2 linked regions of the Rhinolophus ferrumequinum genome follow. The protein of the gene in region 1 interacts with the protein of each later gene in a pairwise test. Links are inferred from orthologs where the notes say so. Each region holds a gene or a part of one and is shown on either strand. Other genes may lie near its edges. The genes, in order: UROD and LRATD2.

What was found.
Region 2: the proteins of UROD (region 1) and LRATD2 interact in binary tests that used the Homo sapiens proteins (3 or more experiments, as listed by UniProt). The two-hybrid records come from large-scale screens. The link is inferred for Rhinolophus ferrumequinum from reciprocal best matches to the Homo sapiens genes UROD and LRATD2.

Annotation. Positions count from the first base shown.
Region 1 is NC_046292.1:31,910,478-31,926,384, forward strand, and holds UROD (uroporphyrinogen decarboxylase), read left to right. Parts: upstream 1-9,731; 5' UTR 9,732-9,867; coding exon 9,868-9,887; intron 9,888-10,538; coding exon 10,539-10,651; intron 10,652-10,768; coding exon 10,769-10,848; intron 10,849-10,924; coding exon 10,925-10,987; intron 10,988-11,204; coding exon 11,205-11,402; intron 11,403-11,527; coding exon 11,528-11,689; intron 11,690-12,069; coding exon 12,070-12,207; intron 12,208-12,362; coding exon 12,363-12,463; intron 12,464-12,545; coding exon 12,546-12,612; intron 12,613-12,953; coding exon 12,954-13,115; 3' UTR 13,116-13,190; downstream 13,191-15,907. Other genes in the region: E3 ubiquitin-protein ligase HECTD3, read right to left, coding at 181-265, 415-486, 613-694, 820-894, 992-1,121, 1,390-1,596, 2,507-2,596, 2,713-2,832 and 13 more. UniProt on the Homo sapiens protein: Catalyzes the sequential decarboxylation of the four acetate side chains of uroporphyrinogen to form coproporphyrinogen and participates in the fifth step in the heme biosynthetic pathway.
Region 2 is NC_046297.1:62,835,056-62,850,855, forward strand, and holds LRATD2 (protein LRATD2), read right to left. Parts: upstream 6,699-15,800; 5' UTR 6,228-6,698; intron 6,160-6,227; exon of another isoform or gene 6,135-6,159; intron 5,671-6,134; 5' UTR 5,575-5,670; coding exon 4,642-5,574; 3' UTR 942-4,641; downstream 1-941.

The sequences.
Region 1 (15,907 bases):
TCAACTCACCGCCCGCCCCCACTCCAACCACACACGGGCGGTGTGTGATGGCTTTTTCTGAGTGCATTAGCTTCCCTCCAGAGCTGGAAGAGCAGACCCCAGGTGGTCCAGAGAGGGCGTCTGGCCTTGGGTTAGGCCGAGTGGGACTCTGCTGGCCCACGGCTGCCCCCTGGCGCCGACTCACTCCTCCCAAGGGCTCATGTCGGTGTCGATGGCCACACAGTTGTACGCTGCATAGCGGAGCTTCTCCTCGCACACCTTGGCGCTGTGAGGGGTGAGGCAGCAGGGAGTTGGTCAGTGCGCCAGGTGTGGAGGCCCTTCCATCACTACCAGGGGTGATAAGGCTACAATTTGTGCACTGCAGCACTTCATCCACCCTCCGATGCCACCCCCTCACCTGTTCCTGAAACCCACCTGGCATAGTGAGGCAGGAAGAGGGTGCTGGAGCAGGTGGAAGACTCAGGCAGTGCATCTGTGGTCTCGTAGCTGGAGGCATGGAGGGGCCACAGATCAGGAAGAATCGTAGGGGCACAGGGTAGGGGTCTGACGTGTATATGTGTGTGGGGAGAGCAGAAGACCGGTCACAGCCCTTCGGACCTCCTCCACACTCACCCCAGCTTGTCCGGGTAGATGTAGATTCGTGCAGGCAGACGGCTGCGGCCTGTGACAAAGCGTAGGAAACGGCTCCGGTCCTCTGGATGGAGGAGAAGGAAATCAATGCCCCCACTGGTGGTGGGGGAGGTTCGACCACTTCCAGGCTGCCTCTGTATCCCACAAGTGAAGTCAAACCCAGGCATTACTCTGCCCTCTTCCACTGACCATTGGTGAAGTTATTCAGCGCCTCCCAGAAATACTGAACCCGTGTGTCAGATGGCTCGAAGTCCTCAAACCGGGCTGGTGGGGATAGGGACAAGGCCAGAATTCATTCTCGCATCCTGATAGACACAGCTTTAAGCCACCCCAGTGCCCCGCTGCCCTGCCTCACACTCACTGAGCTTGCGCAGAGCATCCACAGTGACCTCAGGGTCCCCGCACACCTTCTTTTCTAACTCTTGCCAAGTCAGCAAGTCCAGCACAGCCTGCGGCACCACCTTCAGCAGACCTGCCTGCATGGCTGCCACCTGGGGAGGAAGGAAAAGGCCTGGCTGAGGAAGAGGGCAAAACTAGTGTGTGGTGGGGCCATTTGGCCTCTACTTGTGGAGATAATGGGGGACATGGTCTTTGCTCAGCACTGGGGGTATCTGTGTACCCCACTGATAGGCAGGAATATAGGGCAAGGGATGGTGGGGACCAGAGTTCTTGGGATTGGGTACTGGTAGCCTATAAGGCTGGGCTCTGGCTATGAGGAGCTGGCCAAAGCTGTCTGTCCTTCTGGCCTCTGGGCAGTACCTGCTCTCTGCTCTCCTCTAGCCGTGCCTTCTGCACCAGTTGGATGAAACGGGAACGGTCTTCATAGCCCACCACAATGCCTGTACCCCCGGGGATCAGCTCTACCACCTGCTGGTCACTCAGTACAGTGGTGAATGTTAGCTCCTTCCCAAATTTGAACTCAAATGTTTCCTTGTCCATTCCTTCCATCACTTCCAGGAGCTTCACCTAGGGGTTGGTGAGAGACAGGAAGGTCAGCTTTTCATAGTGGAAACAGTCCTTGTTTTTCCTCAAGATGCTCACAGGGAAGCAGGAGAGACAGCCAGGTACGGCAGTTCCCACGCAGGCCATGAGGGAAGTGAGGGGGTCAGTACAAGGGCTGTGAACGCATCAAAGCAACATGGAACCGAGCTTGGAGGCCAGGGAAGGCGTCCTGGAGGAAATGGCATCTATGCTGAGATCCAAATGATGTCTGGGGGTTGGCTGGGCCACAAGGAAGCCAGGAGAGAGAACATCTTGGAAAAAGGTGGAAACCGTAAAAGGCCTGAGGAATCTGTTTGGCTTGAACCTGAACATGAACTAAGTGCTCATGGGTCATGTATGGCCTTTTCGGATTCTGTATTTTATCCTAATCCTAGGGCGGAGCCATCGAAGGGTTTAAATGAGGAGAGTAAAATGAATTACTCTGGTTGCTGGAGATCAGATGGGTAAGAATAGAGACAGGGATACTAGCATTTGTAGTTAGTGGTTGGGTCACAAAGGAAGGTGGCCTGAACCAGTAGTGAGATGGGAGTTGTGACAGAATGTGGGAGGTGAGGGAGGAGTGAGGGATGAACCTTGGCAGGGGGAGGGTGGGTAATGGTGCCATTCTGAGACAGGGCAGTAGGATAGGGAGGTGAAGCGTATGCTGAGCTTCAGGTGCCGTCATGTGGCACAGGTCCAGCAGGCACATGCATATAGGGCTGGGGCCGGAGGGAAGGATTTACGGGGTCACTAGGATAGAGACAATAGTTGAAACCGTGGGAGTAGATGGGACTGGAGAGGGATCATGTGTGTGGTAAGAGAAGGTTCAGGACAGACTTGGGGAACAGCAACCTTCAGGGACCGAGCAGAGGACACGGCTCCAAGCCCTACTCACCAGCACAGAGTCCACAGCTGGGAAGTCCTTGCTCCAGCTCACCTCCTCACCAGAGAGCTGCTTCCACACAAAACCAGGCAGAGCCAGGACCTGTGGGACAAATCCTCACTACTGTCTGCTGACCCTGAGCTGCCCACGTTTGGCTGGCTCTTCTTCCTTCCAGGGGCCAGGGCTGACCTGATGGGGTGTAGAGTTAGGCTACTCACCAGGAACTCCTTACCCCGAAGGGCAGCCCCCATCAGCTGTCCAATCCACTCGTATTTGGCGAAGTCTCGGCAGGAGGGGTTGGGCACATACATGTCCCGGGCCTCACCTGTGCCATTGCCCTGCCCCCGAGACAGAGCTGTCAGCATGGCATGGGATGGACCATACTTTGTTGCCTGAGATTCCCCAAAACTTTCCTGAACATCTTCCACTGGGAACCCTGAATGATCCCTCTGTAGGTATAATGGCTCCTCCCTCCCTGGCTGCCCAGAAGCTGCCCAGGCAACTCAGTCCCTATTCTGCCCCCTCTAGCTCAGCCTGGTACCTGGGAGGTTTGCAGAGACAGAACAGTAGAAGTAACTTGGGAGGTAGAGGTGGGAGATTACCTGGTTGGCCGTGCGCACAAAGAAGGGCAGAGGCACAGGGGTGTCTGCTGAGCTAGGGCACAGCTCTTCTGACATGTCTGCCAGGCTATCCCGGAAACCACCCCCTGAAATGACAGATCGATGCCCTCAGCAGGGGGAATCTAGAGTCCCAGCCCCCGTAATGGAGGAATAAGCAGGTCCCCTATCTTGGTTAGCTGGTGACCCCAGAAAGCTCCACCACTCTAATTAAGGCAGGACACTTATTATCCCCCCATGGCCTCACCTTGGTCAATGATGCCTTCTGCAATGAATTTACACTCCCACCACTGATCATAGCGCATGGGCCACCTGTAAGTAGGGATGGACCTGTCATTATGCTGGGCCATGTCTTGGGACGTTTCGCCAGCCCAGACACCAGCCAGGAGTAGGGGCTACAGAGCGGTAATGAAGGATGTGTATGTGTACATATCTGCTCTGAGCAATTCCCTCACGCTCATGCCGTACCTGTAGTCCAGAGGCTTTTCATACTTGTCAGAGGGCTTGAGGCCTTCATAAACCTGGGGGCAGGAGACAGGGGAGGGAGTTGTAGAAAAGTCAAGACCTGGCCCCACTCTTGCCCAAAGACCTTGCTCAGGACCCTCTTGGCCCAGCCCCGTAGGCCCCTTACTACCCTCCCTCAGACCAAACCCAGGTAGACCAGACCTGGGTGAAGACCGCATTCTTGGAGGCAGGGTCCCTTAAGGGGCAGGCACGGTGTTCCATGGCAAGGCGCCGGTTGATGTACAAGCGTGGCATGAAGCTGGGCTTGCTGCTTTCTGAGTCACGCAGGCACTGGGCCACCAGGCCTGGCCGCTGGCGTGACAGCAGCAGGAACTGCTTCACTTGCTGATGAGAAAAGGAGGCCAGAGCAGGACCAGCAGGCAGTCAGCCTCTGTCCAGGCCCTGGAACCTTCTTCTACACCTAGACTGAATTCCACCATTCCAGTCCAAGCCTAGCCCATCCCTGTCCTTGCTGCCAATCCCCTAGTCCAGCCACCAGGGGGAGCTTTCTAAAACAAAAACGTCCAACTTGGTCATTACCTTCCTTAAAATCTTTCCTATGGCTCCACTCACCTGGGACAAAGCCCCTGTTTCACAGCCTGGCCCACAGGGCTCTCTGCTACCAGGGACTGCGTCCTTCCCACCCCCTTCCAGCCTCATCCCCATCCACACTCACATCTACCTGTATGCTTCTCTCACCTCTTCTATTGCTGCCTACTAAGTCCCAGTATGTACCTTTTATGCAACCTCTTCGTATCCATGCTGTCACCTCTCCTCCCCTAGCTCTTGTGTATTTCACACACTATCTGGGGAATAGCACCCCAGCAACTAAATTTTGACTGTTTGTGCCTGGCTTTCTTCTTATGTACCTAGAGCCCAGCAAAGGTTCAGGACTTTAGGTTTTAAGAACTCTCTGCTGAAGAGTTAACGACTACATGAGCATAGAGGGGAAAGCTACTGCCAAGTCCAGCACTGGATGGGACAGCTCACCTTAATCTCACTGAAGGTGCCCAGCGTGTGGTCCCAGGCAGGTACCAGGTGGTGCAGGACGCTGTCTAGGATCTTTATGAATCTGGGTAGGTGGTAAAGTAACTGTAGCTAAAGAGTTTAGCATGGATGCAAGACCCCCTCAATCCCAACACACAGGGATAGGAGAAGCCAGGACCAAGGGGCTGCTCTGACTTTTCAATTGGAACAGCTTACAGTATAAGACCTTGGGGACCTCTTCCACATAGACACACAAGGCTCAGAATGGGGGAAGGGAAGGGTCGGGCAGGCCCAGGACCACAGCTACCTCTGCAGGAGAACAGCTCTGCGGTATAGTACTTCCGGGTCAGTGCCTTCCAGGCGAGGATATCGCACCAAACTGGTTGGCTGGAACAGGTCTGCATTCAGCCCTAGTTCCCGCTGTCTAGATGACTTGATCTTGACCCCTCGAAGACGCACATCAATCCCATCATCTGGGGGAAGGAGTCGGAGTGAGGTCACGTACTGTGCCTGCTGCCTCCTTGGCCACCCTTAGACCTGAGAATATCTCCTAAATGCTCAATCTTTTGTCTCCTTTTGCCCCTAGACACGTGGGACCTTTGGGATCACCTTCTACTTACCTGATTCTGATTATTATATCCTTTACTGTCTACCACTGTAATGTTGGAGTGTCTGAGGGTCCCAACTCAGTTCCTCTTCCAGCTGAGCCTAACCAACCACCTCTGTGGCTTTAAGGCCAGTCTATACCCAGCACATTTCACCCAGCTCAGGCCCCACAGCTTCAAATCCTGGAGTTAGTTCAGCTATCACCTTCACCTCAACTCCAAGCCCATCTGCTTCTCTCCACACTCATGGCCAGCTAGTCCCCATCTACACACTGGGCTCCCTTTACCTCCTGATAGCCTTAAGCCCCACCTCGGCACTCGACGATTCGGATCTCAATGATTGGGAGGTGGACAGTCATGTCCTCCAGGACACAGACGTCCCCGATCAGGGTCCTGAAGGAGACAGATGTGTGGCACTTTGGGTACCCTGTGCCTTCAGGGATTGCTGGGGTCTCACCCAACCTTCCAAGACAGGCAAGCCCCACCTCCCACCCAGGCCAGCTTGCTCACTCGTCAATGCTCACGTCACTCAGCTTCTTCAGGTTGTCCCCTTCGCCCCCATAGACCACCACCCGCTTAGGCATAAAGTTGTCATCTGTGGTATCGACTGTGAGTAGCAGCTTCCTGGGGGGCAGAGGATGCACATGGGTCTCTGTACACTCACAGACATGTGGCTCACCTACCCTGTCCCACTCAGAGCCCACTCACTTGACAATGGTGCCCTTTTTCATGGTAAGCCGCACCCAGTGCTGGCACTGCGATCCATCACTCTCCCAATAGGTGTCTGCATTGCTGTCTGTCAGGCAGGACACATTGAACTCCTCCTGGGGAGGGGCAGAAAGGTGGAATCAGTGTTTACCTCCACTCCCTGCACTGGAGGTGTACTTTGGGTCAGGCAGCACAAGAGAGAAAACATCAGAGCTGGGTAAAAAGCGCAGCTGGTATGGGTGGAATTGTCTAGGGGTTCCTATAGGATTTCCAAGATGGGGGGCTGGACTGAGTCTGGCCTATGGGGATTCAGGTTTAGCCGTTGGTCTAGAGGTGAGGGTTCCGGACCTAGCAAGATGTGACTACATCTTCCTTGGGGTGGGAGGAGTCCCAGCACCCACCGTGTAGGAGGAAACGTCTATGCTCTCCACATACTGCTTCACGCTACCCAGGTTCTCATCCTCCTTGCCCAGGTGGTCGTACAAGAAGTGGATCAGGTCCTCGTCGCATTCGTAGGTCCACGTCGGGGGTACATAGCTAAGCAACCCCAAGTCCCTAATTAGGTCGGGCCCAGACCTGGAGCTCCTTCCTCCCCATCCCATCCCAGCTCACTCACAGTAGCCTTTGTACAGCTTCTGTGTATGCCTCAGCGGGCTGAGGCCTCGATCCGAGGCGATGTGAGTATGTCAGATCTACCACCTGTTCCCATCTGTGGGCAGAGAGTGGGGGTGGGATGGGAAGACATCAGTGGGCAGCAAGACAATCCCAAGCTCTGGAACCTTACCCAGAGCTCTATCTCCAAACGGCGCCTCGTGAAGCACCCCCTCACTCCGCCCCCTCACCACTGTTCCCTTCAGGCCCCGCCTCTTCCTGCTCTAAACCCGGCCTTCGCTCCATATCCCACCTCCCAGGCAGTGCCAGACTACTTTCCAACCTCTGGGGGCGAGGCCCAGACAACTGGTAGCAAGCCCTGCCCCTTCAAGTGCAGGACCTGAGCAGTGGGCGGTAATCCACACCGAAGAGCTGCTGTTGCCGCTGGAGGTGGTCGGGAGTGTCGATGGGTACAAGGCGGGCCCCGCCCTCCGCCGGGCGGCATACCAGCAGCCAACCTTCCTCCAGCCCGCAGTCGCCCAGGTGCTCTGCGAGCTGCTCCTGCCGGGACGCGCCAGATGGGGACAGCCGTCAGGAAATTGCCCAGCGGCCCGCCCTGCCCAGCCCAGCCCAAGTCAAAGGACACTGAACGCAATGCCAGCTCAATATGAGAAGGAGGGGAGGGGAACAGCTAGGGGCGTCCCTGGTACCGGGGGTCTTCTGCAGGGCCCAGGGCAGGCCTGGGCGCACCTTGGTCAGCTTCACACAGAGCCCGTGGCCGTTGCACAGCTCCTCGCCCGTGGTGCGTACGCAGGCGCCGCGCCGGAGCTCGATGCTGTCGCGGGCCGCGCGGAGGGGTCCGGAGCCAGTACCCGGGGCCGGGCCCGGGGCTCCCACACGCAGCCCCAGGCCCTCTGCCTCCCACACCGGCAGCAGCACTCGCGACGGGCCCGCCGGATCCTTGTAAAGCTTGTAAAGCACCTCGCGCGGCACGAAAGCCAGCGCCGCCGGCAGCGGCCGTCCGGCGCGGAGGTTCTGCGCTGCCTCCGCCAGGAAGCGTATTCGGCCCAGCAGCTGCCGCGGGGACTCTAGGGCCGCGCCGGGGCCCGGGCCTGCCATGTCGAAGTGTCAGAAGGAAGACTACTGGCGACCCGGCTCTAGGAGAAGCAGCCGTGAAGGCTGGTCGAGCTTCCCACCACGCTACGCCCCGCCTTCGGCCAGCCTTTACCGTAAGTTCTGGGCTAAGTGCACCCCACGCTCCCGCCGTATTGCCCTGTGTACTCGGATACTCATCTATATTACCTACCCCTGTGCCTCCCACTCGGCCAACCAGATCCAAGTCCAGTAGTTTCTACCTGATCAACTTACTCCTCCTTGTCTATTCCTATTTCTATTACCATTTTATTCCCACTGTTACTACCCTCATTCAAGCCGCCATCCTTTCCAGACTGGTTCACTAGAACCTCTATTTTTCTGGTCCTGGCCTCTTGTTTTGCTTCTCCACCAACAAGTCATACTACAACCAGAAAAATCTTTGAAATTTTCTAGACATCCTCTTGGGCTCCCCGTCCTAGGGACCATGTGACTAAAATGTTTGGGGGACTAACCCCCTCCCCAGCCCTGCCACTGACAGAGGAGTTATTAGTCAGTAAGGCTTGAACAGGTAGTTATTCCTGATCCCAGAACACCAGTGATCATTATCCAGTTTCTCCCAGTAATTCTGAACCAGATGAGAGTAAAAGCTAAGAAGGGAGGGGAGGAGGCAAAAAAGGTGGACAGGTGCTGTTGGTGAAGTACAATCATGGAGGAAAAGGAAACTCCCCCCCCCCCGTTTGAAAAATTTTATTGAGATATATTCTTATACCATTCAATTCACCCAAAGTGGACAATTTAATAGTTTTTGATATATTAATTTTAAAAAGTGAGGTAAAATGCATACAACAAAATTTGCCATTTTAACTTTTTAAAAAATTTTTAAGGAGGGCGCAGCTCATGGTGGCCCATGTGAGGATCTAACCGGCAACCTTGGTGTCATCAGTACCACGCTCTAACCAACTGAGCTAACTGGCCACCCCCCATTTTAACCAGTTTTAAGTGTACAATTATCTATTTTCAAAACTTTTTTTTAATCACCCAAACAGCAACTCTGTATCCTTTAAGCAGTAACTCCTCATTGCCTCCTTCCCGCTGCCCCCTAGTAAACTCTAATCTACTTTCTGCCTCTATGTATAATTTCCCTATTTTAGGTATTTCATGTAAGCGGAACCACACAATATTTGTCCTTTTGTGTTTGTCTTATTTCACTCAGCATAAGTTGTAGCATGTATCAGAACTTAACTTCTTTTCATGGCTGAACAATATTCCATTGTATGTACATAGAACATTTTGTTTAGTCATCTGTTGATGGACACTTGGATGGAAACTTTGTTTTGATATAGTTTTCAAATAATTGAAGTTATCAAGAAAGAAAGAATAAATGATCCCATGTATTTTTGACAGCGTTCCATTTTTTTCTCTCTAGAAAACTGGGAACCCAGTGCTTCTCTTCCCTTCTTTCCATGCTATTTCTATGCTATCACACTGTTACAGGATAAAGTGAACACATGTACTTCACAAGGGCCTGCATGACCTGAACTCCGTACATCTCCAGCCTCTTTAATTCCACCAGATTGATCTCCTGGTTCCGTAGTAGCCATTTGCTCTTTAGCCTCTTTGTTTTGTGCATACTGTTTCCTCTGCTTGGAACACCCCCACCACTTTCCCCAATTAAGTGGGGAGCCTTTGCTAGTTACTTCTAGCTTTTTCCTCTTAAAACATTTATTGTTGTGATTGCTGATTTCTATTTCTTCAACAGTCTGTAGAGGAAGGGGCTGCCTTGCTCACCATTGTAATTTCCACAACTATTATAGGCTCTTCTATGTCATACAAATATTTAATGATTTTAGTTCCTTATTCAGCTTGGTTCCATACTGCATTGTATGCCTGGCTGGCCAGGCATGAGATTGGATTGTTAGAATCATGGACAGTGGGAGTGAAAGTAAGACTTAGGCCGAGACTTCGGGATTGTTAGGTCATCAGAGGAGGGCAAATTCCTCATGCCATGGTCAGGTGTAGTTAGAGCTAAGTTATTTTTAGGGATGTTTGTTGCTGCGTCGCTACACGGGTCTTTACGGTGAAGTGAGGTAGGGGGTCCTAACGGCAGCAGCTAGGGCAGCCCGGTAGCTGTTGCTGGAGTCTGATCATGTGACTTTCAACATGGCCACCACCTTGGCTCAGTCCAGGAAGGGGCGGAGCCTGGGGAAGGAGTAGGCTAAGATTCAGGTTAAAGTAGGAATTGGCTCGCAGTTACAGACATCTTATCATGGAGGCGAACGGGTTTGGGTGAGTTCTGCGCACTACGCGATGTGGCCAGCGGGGCTTCTGATCTGAGTCTTCCAGCTCAGGGATCTGTCCCTATATCGCCCTTCCCCGTGGAGAGCCCCCAACCTGAACCCCAGAGGCTCGAATTCCGAAAATCCTCTAATCATGGATTCCCGAGACCTTCATCCCAGGGTTCACCTAGCTGGACTGCGTCCCTCAGATCTTCATTTAGGAAGATGCCCCCAGGACTTTCAAATCCTCAACTAGGACCCCTGTTTCGGAACCGTCAACTCTGATCCCTCCGTGACTAACTCCCAGACCCGGAATCAGCCCACTTATATTCTCCCGTTCCTGTTGATTTTCTGGTCCAGAGACCTTGGAACTATCCTTTCTGGGCTTTCTTTCGCCCAGCCCCCAGTCCTTCCAGTGGCTTTGAGCTGGGGGAACCTGGGACTGAATGTAGAGTAGAGGCCCCTGTTGGGGCCCTTCTATCCTTGTGCACCACCTGATAGGCAGAGAGGAGGCAGAACCGGGTGTGGAGCCACAGCGTGGGAGCTGGTCTGGAGAAAGCAGATAACGGCACTGGACTGAATCTGCCTTAAGAACCCGAGCCTTCCATAGTTTACTGACACCTACCCACCCTTCACCCCCATCCCAACCCCCCATCTCCAGACCCCAGCCTTTTCCGGAGCTGAAGAATGACACATTCCTGCGAGCAGCCTGGGGAGAAGACACAGACTACACTCCAGTTTGGTGCATGCGGCAGGCAGGCCGCTACTTACCAGGTCAGGGTCAGGGCCTGGGAGTCTAGGTAAAACTCTGGAAAGAAAAAAGTTTTTGAGGGGCAGTGGAGGGCTCTACAGGTTCCTCAAGGTTGAGATTTGCCTTCCTTCTGTCTACAGAGTTTAGGGAAACTCGGGCTGCCCAGGACTTTTTCAGCACCTGTCGCTCCCCAGAGGCCTGCTGTGAACTGACTCTGCAGGTGAGGGGTCCACAAAAGAGGGAGGGATTTATGCCCCCAGCTCGCTACCTAGCAACCTGTCTTCTATTCCTTATAGCCACTGCGTCGCTTCCCTCTGGATGCTGCCATCATCTTCTCCGACATCCTTGTTGTACCTCAGGTACCCACTCAAACTTGATTCTGGAATGGGTGAAAAAGGGAAAAGACAGTCATGGTTCAAGATGAGCACTTATCCTCACTGGGCAGAGGGAAAAACAGGCTGGAAGAGATGGGGTTTGGCTGAGCTTTATTCTTTTTCTCTTTCCTGGCATGGGCTGAACAGAGCCTTTCCTCCGGAAGTTACAGGTTGGGAACACAGATGTTTTCTCCCCCTCCAGGCGCTGGGCATGGAGGTGACCATGGTGCCTGGCAAAGGGCCCAGCTTCCCAGAGCCATTAAGAGAAGAGCGGGATTTAGAGCGCCTCCGGGATCCAGCCATAGTGGCCTCTCAGCTGGCCTATGTGTTCCAGGCCATCACCCTCACTCGACAAAGGCTGGCTGGGCGTGTGCCACTGATTGGCTTTGCTGGAGCCCCGGTAACGTGGAACAGGGCAGGGATTTGGACATGGGGAAAACACTCTGGCAGGTCTGGTGTAGACAAGGAAGGAAGTGTCAGTCTGGCTTCTACACCTGTGACATTTCTCTTTGTATCCTTTTGTAGTGGACTCTGATGACATACATGGTTGAGGGTGGCAGCTCAAGCACCATGGCTCATGCCAAGCGCTGGCTTTACCAGAGACCAAAGGCCAGTCACCAGCTGCTTCGCATCCTCACTGATGCTCTGGTACCATATCTGGTGGGACAAGTGGCTGCTGGTGCCCAAGTGAGTCCTGAAGGAGAGACAAATGGGCTGGGGTTTAGTGTATAAAGAGGACAGAAGCAACAGAGTTCTCTATACCTGAGAAGGTACGTGTCTTAATGGCAGGCATGAAAGAAGCTTGGCCTGCAGTGATCTGGCTGGAGCAGCTAAGTCCACCCTGACACTGGCGGGGGCTTAATGCTTTGTGTGTTCAAAGACCAAAGCTAGCACTGGGATCTGTAGGAAAAGGCAAAACTCTTTGACTGGAACTGGGTTTTTACAGGCTTAGGCAGTATGAGGGGTTGAAGTCACTTGGGGAAAATTGAGGCACATTCTGGGTGTGGGGCCTGAGATACTTCCTTTTTGTGTGTCATGTATTTCTCTTCACCACCCCCTAACTGTAGGCATTGCAGCTCTTTGAGTCCCACGCAGGGCATCTAGGCCCACAGCTCTTCGGTAAGTTTGCACTGCCCTACATCCGTGATGTTGCCAAGCGAGTGAAGGCCAAGCTGCAGGAGGCAGGCCTGGCACCAGTGCCCATGGTAAGAATGGGGATGGGGGGAGTGAAGGTGTGACTGGAACTTTCAGGATAAGTCCTGTATGGACTGAAATGACCACTGGAGGGCAGCAGAGGTAGGTTAGTGGGCATACTGTAGCAAGGCCCTCTGTAGCCTCAGGGATTTGCCCTTTCCCCCAGATCATCTTTGCTAAGGATGGACATTTTGCCCTGGAGGAGCTGGCCCAGGCTGGCTACGAGGTGGTTGGGCTTGACTGGACAGTGGCCCCAGAGAAAGCCCGGTAAGTAATGGAGGGTGAGGTGGAGCAGGTGCAACTGCTGTTACGTGCAGTCACCAGAAAGTGGCATTGACTCTGCTTCCAGGGAACGTGTGGGGAAGACAGTGACCTTGCAGGGCAACCTGGACCCCTGTGCCCTGTATGCACCTAAGGTAACAACCAGGGTCCCTATATGTGTCTGTGAGTTTGTCTCTGTGCACTCCCATGGCTGTGGGTATGATTGTGTTATATTGTGTTTTTATGTCTGTTTGCCCCTCCACTATACCCCATACACACCATGTGAACTCTAGGAACGCAGGAATTTCTTTTTATTGTTGTTGTTCATTTGTGTTAGTGCCTGGCCCATCCTAGGCATCCAGTAAATTTTTTTGAATTAATGACTGAATGAGTAACAGAGCGGAAGCATGCCTACACGTGTGTGTGCCACCATTGTGTACAGGGAGGACAGAGGCTTGCTGGTCCCCCTATAGCCAGTGCCCTGTTGGTCCCCCAGGAGGAGATCAGGTGGCTGGTGCAGCAGATGCTGGATGACTTTGGGCCACAGCGCTACATTGCCAACCTGGGCCATGGACTTTACCCTGATATGGATCCAGAACATGTGGGGGCCTTTGTGGATGCCGTGCACACATATTCACGTATGCTTCGAAAGAACTGAGCGTACCCCTTCTCCCTCAAGTACCACTAACACAGATGATTGTTTCCAGGGGAATAAAAGTTCCAGAGTCTAGTATGTGGTTTTGTTTGTGAAAGATCTGTGCCCTTATCCACAGTGCCTTCTTAGCCTTTGCTCCTTCCTTGGGGCCTCTTTCTGCATCCTCTCCCACAAGTCATGGAAACTCAGATCGTAATACATACTGTAGAACTTAAGTCAGGGCCCTTACCACCCTCTTTCCCTTAGATCTCCAAGCCCCAGAGTTACATGGGCTTGGGTAGAGCTTCCTAACAGCCGTAGCTGTGACATTTGCAGAGAAATGGGGTCCCCACAGCTTATGAGGCCAAAACAACAGGGTTTGTGTCTGGGGAGGGGAGAATAGATCAGAGAGGGGCACAGAAATGGCTAGAATACTTCATAGAGGCCTGTCAAGGAAAATGGAATCTAGATAAGCAGGGAGAAGCTGAGAGGCCTTCTGCTTTGATACAAAAAGATGGCAAGACATAAAGACTCACAGCTAGGTTGCTTAGGATTAGAACCTTAGACTCGCATCATTGAGGCAAGAAGGCCTCTGAAGCCAAAAGGCCTGTGGTGCCTGCTCAAGGTTGTTCTGCCTTCTTTTTTGAGCACGTCCTCTCATTTTCTCAGGATCTTGGTGTTTCTGCCCATCATCATGGTACCTACTTCCTGGGACAAGGCTCTGAGCTGCCTGTGAGCTCTGGAGAAGGGTCTGGTGTGGCAGGAAATTCTTCATTTGTCATTCCACATCTCCTTAGACCACTAGAAACCCATTGTGCTACAGACCTAACCAGTCAGCAATGGAGAAGAGAGAGAAGAGCCCCATTTATTGAGAACACAATTTCTGATTTTAGAAAAATCTTTTCTGTGATCCATGATTTATTCATAGAAAAGCACTGTGAGTTCACTTGCTAAAAAATGGCAATCGTGATACAGAAATGGGAGTGGCTTCTTTTTTTCTAACCAACCTGTTGGGCTAAGAGGTTGTAAGGGCCCATGGCTGAACAGTAAGACTTCAGTAGCCACAAACAGCAGATACAACTTACTGGTTAGTGTGGAAAGAGGGAGAAAAAAAGGTGACAGTTTGTTAGAAATGAAAATAAAGCAGAGAGGTCTTTCGTTCACACTCTAGCTATACCACCCTTTCCCGATCACACCCACCCCCTACTTGGGAACTAAAACATGAAACAGTAAACACCAAGACACTGGCATCCAAATGACTTCTGAATGCCCTTGCTACCTCCTATAACAATTCCAGGCTGAGCACAGGGTCAGGAAGATAGCAGGAACATCATACACTAGAGGTCAGCCAAGGCTAAGACAGGTTGCCCACTAGGGCTAGAAACTAGTTAGAAAGGGAAAGGCCAAATGCATCCCAGCCCTAGCCTCCAAATCAGCAACCAATGGAACCGTGACAAAGCAGGCAGAGGAAGCTTGAGGTAGAGAGGCAGGGGAGGAAAACAAGTTCAGGGTGAGAAGAAAACGAGCTGAAGGAGCCACTCAAGGTAGAAGGGGACTAGTGCTTACAAGCTTGTTAGGTGAGAGAGAATGGTGAATAAAGGAGACACAGAGATGGGGAATGTGTTTAGCTGGTGAGAGAGACTAAGGAATGGAGAAGAGAGATGGGCCATAAAGAGAAGGGACACATTCATGCAGATCCTCAAACATGAATTCACAGACATACCTACATGTTGAAATACACAGTTACACATATAAAGACAGATCAATGGAGAGCAGGCATACACACAGACACAAACCTGTTTATACATATGACCTCGTGTGCCCAGATACACACAAGGAACACACATATGTAGTCTTACATGTTCACAAATGTGTATACCCTCGCACAGAAACCCACAGTACAGCACACAGACATGTATTCACACAGACACAGATACACATAAATATATGCACACATACAGGCATGCACAGATGTATTTATGCATACAGGCATGTACTTAGCCATAGAGACACACGCACATACATGATTAGAGAGAAAACCAGTCACTCCAAGACAAAGGTGACCAGAATAGATGAATATTATGAGCTCAGTGGCCTCCCAGAACTTGACTTTCTCCCTGCACTTGTTCCTCAGGAGCTCAGCAGGCTCCTAGAGGCTGTGAGGCCGGAGCAAGAGCTTCAGCGTCCTCGTGGCTTTGGGTGGCAAAAGTCTTAAATCCAGTCCTGGCTCTGCCTTCACCCACCTCTGGGCTATAGGTGCCCGTCTGTAGGCTGGGGTTTCTGCATAGACTAGACTTGGGATTTATTCTAACTGGCCATTTTTCTCCCTGCCACCTCCACTCTTCCACTGCCAACAGCTTATACTCTGTAAGGGAAACCTGAGAAATGGTTGTGAGTCTCGTCAGAAAACAAGCCTATCTTCCCACCCACAGCTATTTCAAGTACCCATCAAATTAGAACCAGGATTATAAATAGTTACAACTTTACAATGTAATTGGCAACACATATACTATAATATTTACAGTACCATAAACGCTTCTGTTTCTCTGGTTAAGCAATCCCTGAGACGGAACAGTGTTCTGTATTTGCCAAGGGAGAGATGCCCAGGACACGCAGGATATAGGGGCGTGAGGTGGCATGTTGTAGTGTTTCTGATCGATCTGCAGGGCCCAGCTCCTCCAGGAACAGTGGGCTATAGTGAGAACCTTGCCAAGGCAGGCATATTGGCTAGAGTTGGACTCTCCCCATGCTCAGCCGTGTGGTCCTTTGGCTTCAGCCACAGGTGCTTAGAGTCCTCTCAGGGTGGACAAATATTT
Region 2 (15,800 bases), on another chromosome or scaffold:
AAGACTCCCACTCTAGGGAAACAATGGTCTCCCTACTCCCTGAGCTCCCTATAACCTTCTGCATTCAACTTTCCTCCTGTTTAAGATTCTCACAGGAATCTGTTGACTAAGCTCAGGCTTTTGAACCTCACAGGACTGTGGTAGCGGCTTCAGGGGTCGGCCTAGGGAGTGCTGATGACCTCCCACATAAGTCTCAGACGCCACAGCTGCTCCTTTATCACTGACAACAGTGCCACGTGATCACATTTGCCCATTTTCTGTAATGAAATTACTCACTGAGCCCATTCCCTTTGTTTGGGACTCGGAAACCACCTAAGATGCAACATGGGTTGCTGATCTTCACCCCAAAACACCCCAGCATAGATTCCAAAATGTGAATGTGCTTTCCAGCAATGCTTGCATTGATTCTGAAAAATCAATGTGTATTCAAAATTTATGTTCATGAGAGTTTTTTTATGAACACTGATAGCCTAGAAGTAATGGGTCATTAATTCTCACATAGTAAAGGCAAGGGAGGGCTTTCAGTCACTAAGTGAATTTATCAAAATGTTTACTAAGGAATGAAAAGATGATACACACTAACTGTGTGTGTGTGTGTGTGTGTGTGTGTGTGTGTGTGTATGTATATATGTAATGTTTGTGTGTGTGTGTGTATGTATATATGTATGTTTGTGTGTGTGTGTGTGTGTATATATATGTGTATATATATATATATATAAACTGCAGGTAAGTTGAATAGCTTGGACTTGGACCAAAAATGGCAGAAAAAGGTATATAAGTGGGGAAAAAAATTATATATATATATATCTGTGTGTGTGTGTGTGTATATATATATAATAAAAATTCAGTTAACACCAATAGATGGTTTATTGGAAACCCTCATAGCATTTCTCAAAAGGACTTGACAGATTTTATTTTAATAAGACATAGTGAAGAGGAAATGGTTTAAAAGATGTCATCAATCTTTTATTTAACTAAGCAATGCCCTTCATTTTGAAGGAAATGATATACAATTTCAAATCAGTATCTCCTTCTCAAGAAGTGGTATAAGAACATAACATTGATTTAACATACAATCTTCAACAAAAATAAAATTTACACAATTCAATGGGAAATAAAATACATGTGTGGAATTTATGTTAGTCAATGTAATTCTCCATGGGTTACAAGTATTATAGCTAAGAACAAAACAACATAATGAAACATTGAATAACCAGTCAAGTTTATAGTTACCCTGATTAAAAAAAAACAATCATAAATAAAATATAACTTTCCAAACAAATCCATTCAGTGACCATGACTAAATTTGATGCTAATTTATAAAAAATGGTTAGACAATCACATAATATCAAGAGTCTTCAACACAGTGGATTCCATTTTGTTAAGAAAAAAATAGAAAACAAGTAGTCCTTAAATTTTCTTCACTCTCCATAGCATATGTAGTATAAAATTAAAGTTTTGCTTCCAAAAATATGTTTCCATGTGGTTGTAGTGTTGTCTAGTAGTGCTATTAGAGTCAGAAGCACCAAAGACATGAGAAGTTTAACCACTGACGTGTCATTTTTCATAAAAACTAATAATTTCCTCAAAGGTCTGGAGTACAGTCTTCTGCTAGGCATTTTAGTGTTATAAAGTTATTTTAAATTAAATGTGGAATAAGAACTACAAAAAGCTGTGTTCTTTCAATACAAAAAGTTGTGTAGCTGAAGTTGAGGGCTCCTTTGACATACATAAGCAGTCTCAATAAAATAGTTGCTCAAGTAAGAAAATAGAATTTGTCTGACTACATTTAGCATACGTTCCGGTCAGGCGTCCTGCCTAGCCCTGCCAGAGCTTCTGAAGAACTTTAGAATTGTTATTTCTTTCCTTCAAAGAACATCCGTAATTCACAGTAAAAAATAATTCTGAAGTCTTAATCCTAAAGAGAAATAAAAATCATTAAATACAAATATATTTTTTAAAGTGCCAGATGTCGCCATTGCCTGGCATTAAAAAGTCACTTATCCACAACACTGCCATCTTGAGGAAAGAGCCAAGAGTTGATTTTGATTCTCTTTTCTTGGCACCTTCACTGGTTGGTTTTTGCTTCACTTGAAGCTTTATAACCCTAAGAAATCTTCCAGTGGAATTTCCTAAGTATTACACATTTCACCTCTCTGGTAACCTGTAAAAACACTGGCTCTACATGGGAAAGCAGTGTTTGCAGTAGACCTATTTCCTCTTCTAGGTCATTCTCAAGCCCAGTTATCAAAAACCACTTCTCTAGAGACAGAATGCTATTGTCGGTATAAATCTTACCGGAGTTCTTCCTTCACATTGAGATTTCTTACAAAAAGCAGTTCATTTGCAACAACAGGTGGCACTGCTATGCCTCTGTGACCATTGACGTTCACTTTCCATTTGAGGGCAAAGAAGGGTGAGAGATGGGAAAGCGGAAAAGAGTTGGCTAGCTAGCCCAGAGCTGCTGGGCAGCGCTGTTTTGCTCTTTTTCCTTCCTGCTGTCTGCACATTGGTCATTACTTTCAATTTTCATTACTGTGTTAAGCATAAGAGAAGATCCAAATCTGTAGGTAGAGTAGGCTCTCCTTAATGTCTTTACCCATGTGTATCTCATTCCACGTTTCTATGAGCAAAAGAAAATAAACACAAGGCGGTGAGATCTATATAAACTAGAGCTACGTGTCCAGCAGGACACTGATGTTTCTCGAAAGTCGCAGACTAGGGCTGAGGATGGTTCATCTTTAACAAACACAACAATAGGACCTCTTTGGTGATCCCGACACAAACAGGAAACATAGCTAATGCCCTTGTAATGAAATAATGTCATGTTGAGGTGCTAGGGAGGCTTTTCAAAAAGGATGGCCTTGCCTCCCAAGTTTGAAAAAAGTGTACGAGAAAATTCTTCAAGTCTTCTTGCCTTTGTTTAGACATTTGTTTAGGCAGGAGGCCCAAGGATGACCATGGCTGTAGAACATTCCAGTGTGATTCTACTCCAACTCTTAAGATTTAGGTCACAAAATGGCGGGTTCAGTGTTATCACTAATGACTCTCGGGAGAAAGAACAACTTCACGCAACTTCTGAGACAGCATGAGCCACGCCGATGAGCAGCTGAGGTGCCTTCTGAGATCGAGGCCCCACAGAATTAAAGAGCTCACGTGAATACAAGAGACAAGTTGTACTTTTTTTTTTTTTTAAAGTCTCCTAGGAAAGCAAATAGAAGCTCAGCAGCACAACCAAATAGTATCAGCAAGCCTGCTGCCAACAGATCCCCACCGTCACTAAACTGTGCCTCAGGACCGTCACCAGACTCAGCACTGACTACACCAGGTGGCACTTGAGATTGCTGTCACCTCTCGTAATTGAGAAAGCATTCCGAACGGGTGTTCTCCGAGCAACAAGGAGACTGCTGCCATGTAACAGGACTTTGCAGCTGGAAGTGTGCCTCAGGTGTGGCTACCAAAATACTTACTGAAATATGCCTCAAGCCTAAGATTTTACCAGCAGCAGAAAAGTGAGAGGGAAGGGGCGGTGAGGAAAAATGAAAATTCACAGGCCCACCACCAAAGTCTTCCATTTGAAAAAGGTTCAGGAATGGAGTTCACTGGGGAGTGGGAGTAATTGACTAATTAATTCCCACCAGGGCAACCCTGTTTGGCTGCTTCTGTAGTGGATACTTTAGGAGTGGCACCTGCCAACCCCATGCAGGACTGCAGATGAACACAACCGATCGGGTTTAATTAGATCAGAGACACAAAGGGCTGGTCCCTCCTTAGATAACAAACAACACAGCTGTAAGTGCCTACAGCAACAGGCAAAAAACACAGGCGGCCAAACAGAACCATCACTGAACCCTTCCCCTAGCTGGTCCATGACAATGATTTACTTGCAACCTGGAAAGTGGCGGATGGAGGAGGAAGCAGGAGACTCAGGTAGAAGCCAGCTCCAGAAGATGAATTACTTGGGGCCAGGGGGGAGGGAGGTAGCAAAGTCTTTGTTTTGTAGCCCAAATTTACTCAACTATTTGTTACACTTCACAGGCGGCTGTTTGCTTTTGGTCTGGTGCTCCCAGACCTGGTCCTGGTTTCTCCAGTCTTGCACCCAGGAATCCCATAAAATAAATCACCCCAGCCTCCAGGATCCCACACACAGCTCCACAGGGGAAGCAGATAAGCAGCTCTCTGTGCTGGCCAGGAGCCTCAATAAACCCACCCTGGCCTAAGTACAGGGCATCCTCCAAACCGAAGGTAGGAGGGAAGCAGGAAGGGGCAATAATGGCAGGCGTTGGTACTTGGAACTTTTTTCCACCCCTGTGTGCATATGAAGAGTCAACTTTGGACCCAGGTCCAGCAGGGATTAGTGTCAGGCGTGTCCACAGTTTGTCCCATCTCAGAAAGGAAGACTGACTGAGGGGGCAGGCAGGAAGTGCCCCCAACCAAAGAGCTCCTACCTGTTCCCTCTTCCTCCTGTCCAAGATAACATGCTCAAGCCACAGATGGCTGCGCATTTCGCCCACTCTAGGTTTTCCAAATGGCCCAGGAGCCCAAATGGGGCCCAGAAGATGGTGGAAGAGGGAGTCAGAGGGAGAGGGCAGCGGCTGCTGCAAACAGCTACCTCTGACAGCTCTGCACTCAGCTCGCGGGTCAATGCACGACCGCCTCTCGGTCCTCTCCATCCTGGCCCCGCGCAGGAGGGCGCTCCAGAGGCGGCGTAGTCCGCGCAGCGTCGCTGTCGCCCTCTTCGGGTTCGGCCGGATGCAGATGCATGGCAAGCTCCTGCAGCACCGCTGCGCGCCCTATCTGGTCGTTGCGCCGTTTCTCCATGATCAGGTCCTCCAGGCTCTGGAACTCGAGCGTGTGGCTGCGCTGTGCAGAGAGCTGGATCTGCAGCCGATAGGGCTGCTTGCCGATGCGCAGCTCGCCGCCGATCTTGAACTCGCGCTTGCCATAGCGGCACCAGGCGGCGAAGCTCTCGGAGTTACGCCAGCTCAGCTCGCGCTCCTTGGCGCCCACGTGCGCTAGCGCGTTGCGCACCACCGCGCTGGGGCTCAGTGGCTTGTAGCGGTACAGATCGTTCACCACGCGGCCGCGCCGGCCCTGGCTGGCGTCCGTCAGGAAGCTGTTGCTCACCTCAAGCCGGTGCAAGTGCACCACCTGGAAGTTGCCCACGTATACAGCCCAGTGCGGGTACTGCGCCTGCGACACGAACTCCACCAGGTCGCCAGGCTTGCACTTGTTGAGCAGGTTCTCTGGTGTGTAGGTGCTCAGAGCCGCGGAGCCCGGCGCGAAGCTTTTCTGGTAGATGCACTCGTCGCGGTAGAACACAGAACACTCCACCTCGTGCAGCCGCGGATCGTAGGGCTGGGGTGGGGGCAATGGCAGCCCGTCCCCACGGTCAGGCAAGCCACTGCCATCCGACCCATGGGGCGGCGGTTGCTGCTCTACGTCCTCGTCGTCATTGGAGAAAATGTAGGAGACCCCAATGCGTGGCCCGTCATCCCGGTCCACGCCCGTTGGGTCGGCGGTGGGAACTTCCTTATAACTTAGGTGGGTCAGTTTCTCCACCTGGTTGCCCATCACGCTGCGGACACACGTTCACAACGCCGAACGGGGAGAAACAGAAAGCACCACTAGGGTCATTGGCACAAGTTCCCGGACAGGGGATGAGACCACCTGTTGGCAGAGGAAGGCAAGGGAGCCATATAGGAGAGTCTCCGCGTAAAGGACGATTTGTTAAGAAGAGGAAGAAAAGATCGGGTGGAGCACCTGGAATCATTCTAAGGGGAGTCTCGGATGTAGTGAGCCTTCCCTCATTTCTCCACCTCTAGGGTCATGGTCACAGGAGGCCGGCAACTCTAGCTCTCCCCCGCCCCCAGCCCTTCATCTCGCTCCGGCAAATGCCCATTGCATCAGCAGCAGCTCCTACCGCTTCCGCCAGCGCCCTACCTGCCAAGCCCAGGCAGGAGAGGGTAAGGAAGAGAAACTTTACTCCAGTCTCCAAATTCCTAACGCCCCTTTCTCCTTAGGGCCCTTAAGTTAGTCCCTGAGACCGACACACCCCACCCCCACCCCGCCTCCTGCCCCGAAGAAACCGGCAAGGATCGCACAGCACGGTCCGAGCAGGTGAGCCACCCTACCTGGCTCACCTGCGGCGCTTTTTCCTCCGGTCTGGTCCCTCCCCCCTCCCCCGCGCGCCGGCCCTCTGGCTCAGGTTACCTGCGCAAACTCACCCGCCAAGAGGTGGAGGCCCTGGGGAACGGGGAGGGGCCCCAGGCCGCACCCTGAGACTTCTAGGGTGACTTTGCAGGTGTGGGCTTTTCAGTTCCTCCTCTCCAGACGTGGGCGGCAGCGAGGCTGGATAGGGGGGAGCGACGCATGTCTTGCCCCCTTGGCTACGTAGAGCCTTCAGACTTGAAGGTGGGAGGCACCTCTTCCCTCCCGCTGAGTCTACTGCTCCCCCTCTACCGGCTCTCGGGGAAGGTAGGAAGCGAAAAGAAGGAGAAGGAAGCAGACTAGCTGCCGGGCGGTCGCAGCTCCCGCTCAGGCTGGACGAGCAACAAGCGCCGGAGCGGGAGGGACGGGATTGTAGATCCGGCTCCGGGCTTCCCGGGCGGGAGTGCAGCCCCTGGCATTTAAAGAGACAGGCGCCCGCTCCCGAAGCCTCGGTCTTTCCCACACGGCGCAGAGCCTCCGGGATCCCCGGCCCGGCCCCGCCCACCCCTACCGCGGGACTCCGCCCAGGCCACGCCCCCACGCTGGAGCGGGTTTAAATCCCGCTGGTAAATAATCTACAGGCCGGCTGGGCTGGCAGTCTGACCGCAGGTGTCAGTCGCGGCCACTGGGGAAACTCGCTTGCCTTCTTAGAGCAAGGGCCTGCTGTGGGGTTCACACCGCTTGCTCAGTTCGCATTTTTCCGAGCTGGGCGCTTTATAAAGTTGGAAGGCAAAAGCTACCTGACAGTATACAAATGAGAGAGGGAGTAAGAGTTTGCTGTTTGTTTTCTTTCTCCTTCGCCTCTTTTTTGCCACAGTACCTGGAGCAGGAGGAACAGTCATTCGGAAACAAACAGACTTATTTTCTTCCCTAGAACTTATTTCTTGCCAATGATCACAGAAGAGATTTTTTTTCTGGGACGGCTCAAGAAGTGCATCCGTTTAGAGGTATTTTCAGAATGAGTGCTGTAGGGAAAAAAAAATCCACAGAAAAAGAAACAGTATAAAACAGAAGGAAGTCTTATTCACTGGCTTTCTTCCAAGAACTGCGCTCTGTTTATTAGATGTCCCTCGAAATGAGCACAAAGTTGATTTCATAACCTCCATTGTTTCGAGTTACTACTTGGTCCCATAGTGAGAGGAAGCATTCAGCTCTGGTTGTTTTTCTTGAGGGCAGGGGAGGTAGGAATTGCCTAATTGTCCTTAAATTAAGAACAAATTAGCAGAGGCCCCTGTTAGATATAGTTCCTTCCTGCTGATTTACAGAAGGAAGTGACAGGGGAGGAGTATTGCTTATTAACCTACACCTCCAGAAGACACTTCCTCCCCTCTCCAGGCTGGTTTCGTTTTTTTGTATCTAAGATGTAGGCTACCAAAGTGTTCTTTCTTTGTGTTTGCAAAACAAACAAACAAACAAACAAAACCACATAGATATGTGTGGAGGTGGAAGTTTGACAATAGACAAGCTAGATGGAATTACGAATGCAACTCAAGACCTCTTTTAACCCTATTTTCCATCACTGTTTCTTTTGACTAAGTTTTTCCAGGTAACACTATTATTTATTCAGTGTGTATACCAATCAGTGGAAACAGAAATGTACTAACACTACTCTGATCCTTTTCAGTTTCAGAAAAACTAAATCAATTCACTGTGTACTTTTGAGCCTGAACAATCAATATTGGCAGAGCTGTGATGGTAGGTGGTCCTTCAGCAAGTCTAAGATCACTGTGTGTTAGACCAAAAGGAGACTTCTGTGTACCTGCTGGGCAGATTAAATTTAAGTTTCATCAGACCAGCCTTAGGAAAGTGTGACCAGATGAGTGCCCCCCCCCAATACCTTTTGATCTTTTGGTAACACATGCTCAGGGAGCTGCTGTTACCCGAATGGTATTTGTCAGTACCCTGTGAACTCATGTAGGTACCCATTTTGCAGGGAGGAGTTAGGCTTAGAAAGGCAAAGGCTAGTCATCCCATGTCTGTTAGACTGGGAGACCTTTGCTGACGTCAGCCACTGGGTAGGTTGGCTAGTGATAGGAGAATCCCTAGAAGGATGTAGTATGACAGTTTGCAGCCTTCACTCTGGGACAAGGATCTACTAAGGAAACCACTGTGAAAAATAATATAAACAGAGCTACTTCAAACTAGAATCAGAGCTGTCATCCCAAAGGGACTGCCTTGCAGTCTTACTCCTCAAACCTTCAGAATGTTAAAACTGGGCAAAATAACCTTTGGACTGGGCCTAAAGCAACACTGTATTCCTAACAACTGTTTGTCATGACTGTTGGACTGAAGGTTACAGACCTTTGTTAGAATCACTATGTTAGCTTATCTGCACCTATGGAAATGCCTGCCTCTATTTATTTAATTGTAGTTGGAGAGGTGGGGAAGCTTTGGGGCTTTAAGTTTGTCAGTCTGGCTGCCCTGTGAAAAACGGACTGTAAAGGGATGAGAGAGGAGGCAGGACCCCATAGAAGGCCAGGCTGTGAGGCAGAAAGGCATTCCACACAGATGGAGCCTAGTGACCAAAGGTCAAAGCCCCGAAGGCACCTTCCCCAAAGACCAGCCACAGTAAAGCCAGTTGGATTTGAATTCTCAGCCATATTGTAACCTTATCCCCTATCAGTGACCCAAGTGTCACAACGCACATACCTCCTCAGAGAAGGCACCCAATCAAAACAAGTTGTGTGGAATGCCAGTCAGTGACTCACACAGTATTCCTGCCCGGGACCGTGGGGAATAATGGAAAATTGACATTTTCTACCTGATGAGACATGGGCACTGAGTGTGCATGTGTGGTAGAGATCTCGGTTTAGATGATTAGCTCCAAGAATGTACAAAACAGGAGCACGAGGGCGGAATTATGTGATTAGGCAATCTGGAACTCTGCCTGTCCCCTGGGCAGGGCCCCAGGCCCATGGCAGCAGCAGATAGCTGGTGAGTTTGCTGGGAAACAGGTTCCTTCATACTTCCCTTAGACTGGGGAACTAGACTTCCCTGCGCCTGTTACCCGCTCCGGGGGTTTTGTCGATACCTGAGGAGGGGTGAGGTGGCAGAATGGAAACAGATGTCCCAGGTAGGAGTCCTGTTTGCGAAGTACATGACCTTGGAGCTGTTTCTCCTCTACCCTGAGCCTCCTTTCCCAGTCTGTAAAGTGGGGCCGTTGATACTTCTTGCCTCACTGTGAATCCTCGAATGAGACAGTATATGCGGGAGCACCTTTGAAATCCTAAAGGCGATGTGGATGCCAAGCACTATTTATACAGCGTGTAAGAGCCACATGACGGTCTTAATGCGGGAGCAAAAGCCTGACCATGTGTTGTGGGCATCCTCTTACTAAATCATACCCATCCTGTTTTTTACATTCCTACCAGTAGGTAAGAATACAAAAGCCCAGCGATGTGAATCTGGCCTGTTCTACGTGGGAGGACCTGGATTCAAATCCCCATCTGCCTGGCTCCATGCTGTGTCACCTTGCGTCAGGATCACCAGCATATGTGTTTGTTCAGCCACTGGCCAGCCTGAGGACCAGGGGCTGGGTTGGAGAGTGACCAACTTGTCCTGGTTTGCCTGGGACTATCCTGGTTTTAGAACTCAAAGTCCTCAGCAAACTGGGACAGCTGGCTGCCCTACCTGGCTGCCTCCCTGTCCTGGTCATTGCCTTCCCTGACCAAGAGTTTCATGGACTCAGAGCTGAGGCCGTTGCCGGGGTGGAACAGAAAAGAAGGGAATAGGAGAGTCAGGTGTTTTTGTCCACATCTCACTCTTACAAGGCCCCCATTTCCGTTTCCAGGTTATACATATAGCAGCAGCTGCATAACCAGGGCCAGCCAATACAAAAGATAATACCTCCCTTATACTGGGAAACCTGCTTCGGGCATTTTTTTTTCCCCCTTTATTAATCGTACTCCTCACGTAAGAGGTGAGGGTTGGGCCGTCTCCCCTTGGAGAGGAACTATCCTGCAGCTGCTTTCTCCACCTTCCCAGCCGGCCTGTCTTGGGCTTGGGCTGTGTTTCTCCTAAACCTTCAGATTAACGAAGGGAGCCCAGGGGCTTCTGAAGTGGCATCCTTTCCTTTGGTCTCTGTATTTTATCTGCTTTTCCCCTCAGATCACCAGAGCAGGCTCTCTCAAGCAGGCTGGGCCAGCGCTAGTCTGACCTATAAGTGAGGGTGACAGAGATGCCCTGAGAAGGGGTCTGAGGCTGTCACCTACCCGACACCATCAGCCCTCCATGCATTCATGTCATGGCTAAATTGTGAGGCAGTTTTGAATCCTTTCCTGGAAGAGGGCTCACCCGTGAGAAAATACCGAGGCCAGTCTCTCCCAGAGGCTTGCTCTTTTAGGAGGCCCCTGACATCATATTGCTGAGGTCGAACCCAAGTTTGATTTGTGCTACTGAGTCTGAGCATGTAGCTAGCGCCTGCAGAAGCCTCATGAAAGATGCATTCTACCAGGCGGTTCCTGGGGAGAGACAGGCTTAAATTACAGCTTGACAAATCCAAATATTGGCATATCTGCAAATCCAGATGTAGGGATTTCAAGAAAAAAATCTAAATTCTAAGAATCTTATTTTGCACTCCTTGTGCAAGAAGGGGAGGATGAGATCGAGAGGAGACAAGGCCACTATAATGGGAGAAGCTTGGGCAGAGCAAATCCAACCTCCTTTTCTTTCCTCGGGCGTTCCTCTTGCTTCCTGGAAGAAGAACTCCCACGTGAGGGAAGAAGACATTTTTTCAGCACAGCTCTCTGCAGGACAGATCAGGCATAGCAACCACCCAGGAATTGGGACACGGGGCTCAACAAATCTGGGTGGTCAATTTGTCTGCTTTCCCCAAACCACTTCTAGGCCTGGGGCCAACGGATCCCCATAGAGCACTCACCCCCTATTGTCTGTTCACCACACAGCAGCCCCAGCAATCCTGTGAGACTGTGAGCCAAGCCAGGTCACTCCTCTGCTCAAATACTCCATGGTTCCCCATCTCCCTTGGAGAAGGCCAAAGGCCCTAAAACAGCCCTCAGGGCCCCGGTCTGCACTCCCGCATTACCTCTCTGACACCCCCTCACTCACACCTCCAGTCTCCCAGGCCCCTTGCTATTCCTCCCCATGGTGAGCATGCTTTTCTCTCTCAGAGCCTTAACATTTGCTGTTCCTTCTGCCCGGAATACTTTTCCCCCAGATAGTTTCATGGCGTGCTCTTAAAGTCTTCACTCAGATGTTAGCTTGTTGGTGAGCCTTCCCTGATAACCCTATTTAAAATCCCAAGTGTCCTCTCGTCCATACACTTAACATCTTTCCCGCTCTATATCCCTATCAATCGATTCATTTACCGCCTTTCAGTATCCCATATAATTTACTAATTTATTGTTGTTTATCATCTCTCCCAATTAGACTATAAGCTCTATGAAATCAGGGATCCTTGTTCATTGAGGTATCCCCAGCTCCTAGAACGGTACTTGACGGTACATGCTAGGCTCGATACATTGTAGTTATATAAAAACACAGAAGGACTTTGCATGAGCCACTTCTGTTCATCCTCACAATAGCTTTATGGTATAGGATTAACTTGCAATTTAAAGCTGGGAAAAGGAATTATAAATTTCATGAAATACCTGTGGTTCGCCAGGCACTGTACTAGGCAGTTGAGTTTCAGAATGGTTAAGAAGGCGGGCCCAGGAACAGCTCAGTTCACCAAGAAATTATTGCTCCACCCTGCCCAACATGGTAGCTGCTAGTCACGTGTGGCTGTCGAACACCTGAACTGTAGCTCATCTGAATTGAAATGTCATAAAGGTTAAATGTACACCAATTTCCAAGTCAGTAAAAAAAAGTAAATATCTTAGTCACTTTTTCATATTGATTATATGTTGAAAGTATAATATTTTAGGTCTATGAGTAAAACAAAGTATATTATTAAAGTTAATATCACCTGTACCTATTTCTTTTTCCTTTTTTTAATGTGGCCACTATAAAAATTTGAATTACACGTGCATACGTGTAATTTGCTTTGCATTTGGCTCTTGTAACTCTTTTCATTAAACCTTGCATCTCTGTCTTCAAGGAATATTACTTCTTGGAATGTTGAGGGCAAGAGTTCAGTGACCTCATCTTTCCTATAAGGCTAAGAGCAAAGATATGCAAATGTATCAGCAAGTTCCAAAGATAGGAACATACTTGTTACATACTGGATTTTTTGCCCCCCTAAAAATTTCTATGTTGAAGCCCTAACCCCAAATGTGATGGTATTTGCCGGCAGGGCCTTTAGGACATAGTTAGGTTTAGGTGAGGCCATGAAAGGGAAGTCCCCATGATGGGGTTACCGCCCTTAGAAGAAGAGGAAAAGACACCAGAGCTTCCTTTCTCTGCCTTGTGAGGACACAGTGAGAAGGTGGCCATCTACAAACCAGGAAGAAGCTTCTTACCAGAACCAACCATTGCTGGCACTCTGATCCTGGCCTTGCAGAAGTGTAATAAAACAAAATGTCTGTTGTTTAAGTCACCTAGTCTGTGGTATTTTGTTACGGCAGCCGGAGCTGCCCAAGACAATACCTAAAGACTAAATGTCTCTTCCAAGGACAGTAAATCTCCAGGAAAAGCCAGTGAACGGTTGAAGGGGCCTCCCTGGGTGGTGTGTTTTCAGCACCTCCAGTTTCAAGCTGATAGCCCCCGACACACACTTGAGAGTTGGATCTGTGGACGAGGAATTCCCAGTATAATGGAGGTGGATGAGGCTGACAGAGCAGGACACCCACCATGAAGGTTATCGAGCATGTTCTTCTTCCCTCTACTCCCTGTTAACTCGTCAGCCTTCTGAGAGGCATTTGGCTTCTCAGATAGACATGCTTATAAAAAAGACGGATTGACCTGATGGTTACACTTCCTTTCGTCAGTCAGTAAGCTGGAGAGCTGGTTTTCCTCATCTTGACTCTATGGGCTGGGTCTGTCCACTTTCAGTGGATTGACCGAGTCGAGTTTTTGAGACTTCCAGCTTGAGGATCACACCTCAGATGACAGAATGCATGAAAGTGGTAATAACACAAATACATACGATGGTAGCAGTTAACATACGTGGACTGTTGACTGTATCAAACATCATTCCAAGAGCTTTGTATGTGCTCACTCTTCTAATCCTCACCAATGGAGTGGGCGTTATTATTATCCTCATTTTACGGATGAGAAAGCAGAGGAATCGTAAATGTAAACATCTTCCCTGTGGCCACACAGCTAGTGATTTGCAGAGCCAAGAGTCAAATATAAGATCATGCCAGGGCGTCGCGGTCACCTCTTGCCGTCCATCTTGCCCAGACAGTAACCAATATGGCTGAGTTCCTTTGTATTCACACCCCACATTCCTTTTGGGCCCATCCAGGTGTGATGAAGCCATCACCTATCACCTTTGCATTCATTCATAAGTCTGCCTCTTCACCACCCTTCTGGCCCCTCTCCTCCCAGTTTCCCATGGCCCACTATGCCCCAGCCACAGCAGTCCTTGGTTCCCTGTCCACACCAAGCTCAGGATTGCCTCAGGTCTTGGCATGAGGGTTCCCTGGGCCTGAATGTTTTGCATCCCACTCTTCACAAACCTAAATTCTTTGCATTGTTAATGCCTTCCATTAAGTCAAATCCTTAGAGAGGGATCTGCGAACTACAACTAGCTGGCTCGCCACCTCCCACGTCCTCAGCCTGTTGGTTTCCTGCAGAACACTCGCTGCCATCGATAGTGACTGTATTTGCTTCTGTACTCATTTTTACCTGTCTCTCCAGGAGCCCAGACTTTGATGTATCACTGTTCTACCCCATTGTCCAGTGCAGCGTCCTGCACACATCAGATGCTTAACAAATATGTACTGAGTAAATGGATCCTTCTTTGTATTAGCCCAATATTCTCATTCCGTAAGGGTCAAGAGAAACACTTCTTCAAAAACTGATTTTGACTTTCAATATGACCTTAGTTCACAAAACCAAGGTGTTAAGTGAAAGCAGGAGGAGGCTGATGAAATAGAATGGATCAAGGAGAAGAAATAGAAAAAAAAGAAGAAGAAGGAGAAGGAGAAGAAGAAGAAAACAATAAGGGTCTATTAAGGGGAACAAATATCAAGAAAGGGTTTTGTTACCGTTCGTAGCATCGGGGGTTGATTTCCAGTTTGTCCAATGAATTCACCTGACCGGACTGCGCGAGAGAAAGATGGGATGGAGTTCTCCCTTTCTTCCATGGTGAGATGTACCTTTGGTCCAGCCCTGTCCTGGTCCCTGTAGCCGGGGCTGAATGTCCACCACTGCCGTGAGGCAGTCACCCCTGTGCCTGGCAGTCCAGTCCCAGGAATCCTTGAATACCTACTTTATGTCACTCATGGTTCTCACTTGCTATCCAAAGGGACTAAAACCCAGTCTTGCCCTGTGCATGCTCATGCCCCATCACACCAACTGGCATCTACTGATCAACTTAGTACATATCTAGTAAGTATCTTTGAAGTAATGGATTAATGAGTGCCTCGTATTAGGCCTTTTCCTTAAGAGTCCTAAGAGTAGTCGGAGATGTCAGACAAGGGATATGTAGAGACGGAGCCAAAATTATAGGCATATAAGCTGAGCTTACCTAGCTTTTGCAAACTGAACAGCCACTCTGTGCATAGCTGTTATAGGAGAGGAACAATAGTTTTGCTCTGCCTATCTTATGTTCTTTATCTGTGGCCCTCAAATGACAAGACAGATGAACAAGAGAAAAAGAAAGGGAAGTTTATGAACATGTGCATCCCGTGTACATACATGGGAGCACTCTGTGATGAGTAGATCAAAGGGGTGGCTTGAACTTGGCCTTATATGGCATTTTAGCAAACAACAAAAATTTTGTAGAGAAATGATGAGGCAAGAAAAAGGATTTTGAGCTTCTAGTGGTGGCAAATATGTGGGCAAACTAATGGTAAACAACGGCTAGTTAGTAAGGTTTGTTTGTGTAGACTATTTCTCAGGGCCCTCTTGTCTCCAATGCTAGGGTGGTTACCCTCTTCCTCATACAGGAAGTGGTGGAGGTGAAACCTCAACAAGGGAAGTTTATGTTCTGTTTTCAGGTAGACAGGGAGAGGGCAGAGGGCTTTTCTTATATCTGCTTCTTCTCAATTGACTTCAACTCAAGATAATCCTTGTGCCAAAAATGCAATATTTCAGGGTAGCAGATTATGCTACTCTTCACTGCAAACCGACAAAAAGATGAGGTCTTGTCTCTGAGATAGCAGAAGGACTTATTCCATGCTAGATACTGTGTTACCTATTTGTAATGATTACCTGGTTAATCCTCCTGACACCTTATCGGGCACATTCTATTATTATCCTAATACCCATTTTATAGCTTGGGAAAGTTAGGGACTAGTGACCTGTCCCTATCACACAGCTGACAAGTCCACCAACCAAGAGGAAATGAACCTGGGCAGATCTGCATCTAAACCCCACTGGACATGGCACCTTGGCACTCCACTATTTGTTACATTGAAGTCACAAAGAACAACAGGAACGACCGTCTTGGTAGGCAAAGGCAGCCATTCATTTTTTCTTTTTCCTCTTCCTCCTCCTCTGGATGGGGCATGCTTTCCCCAGAG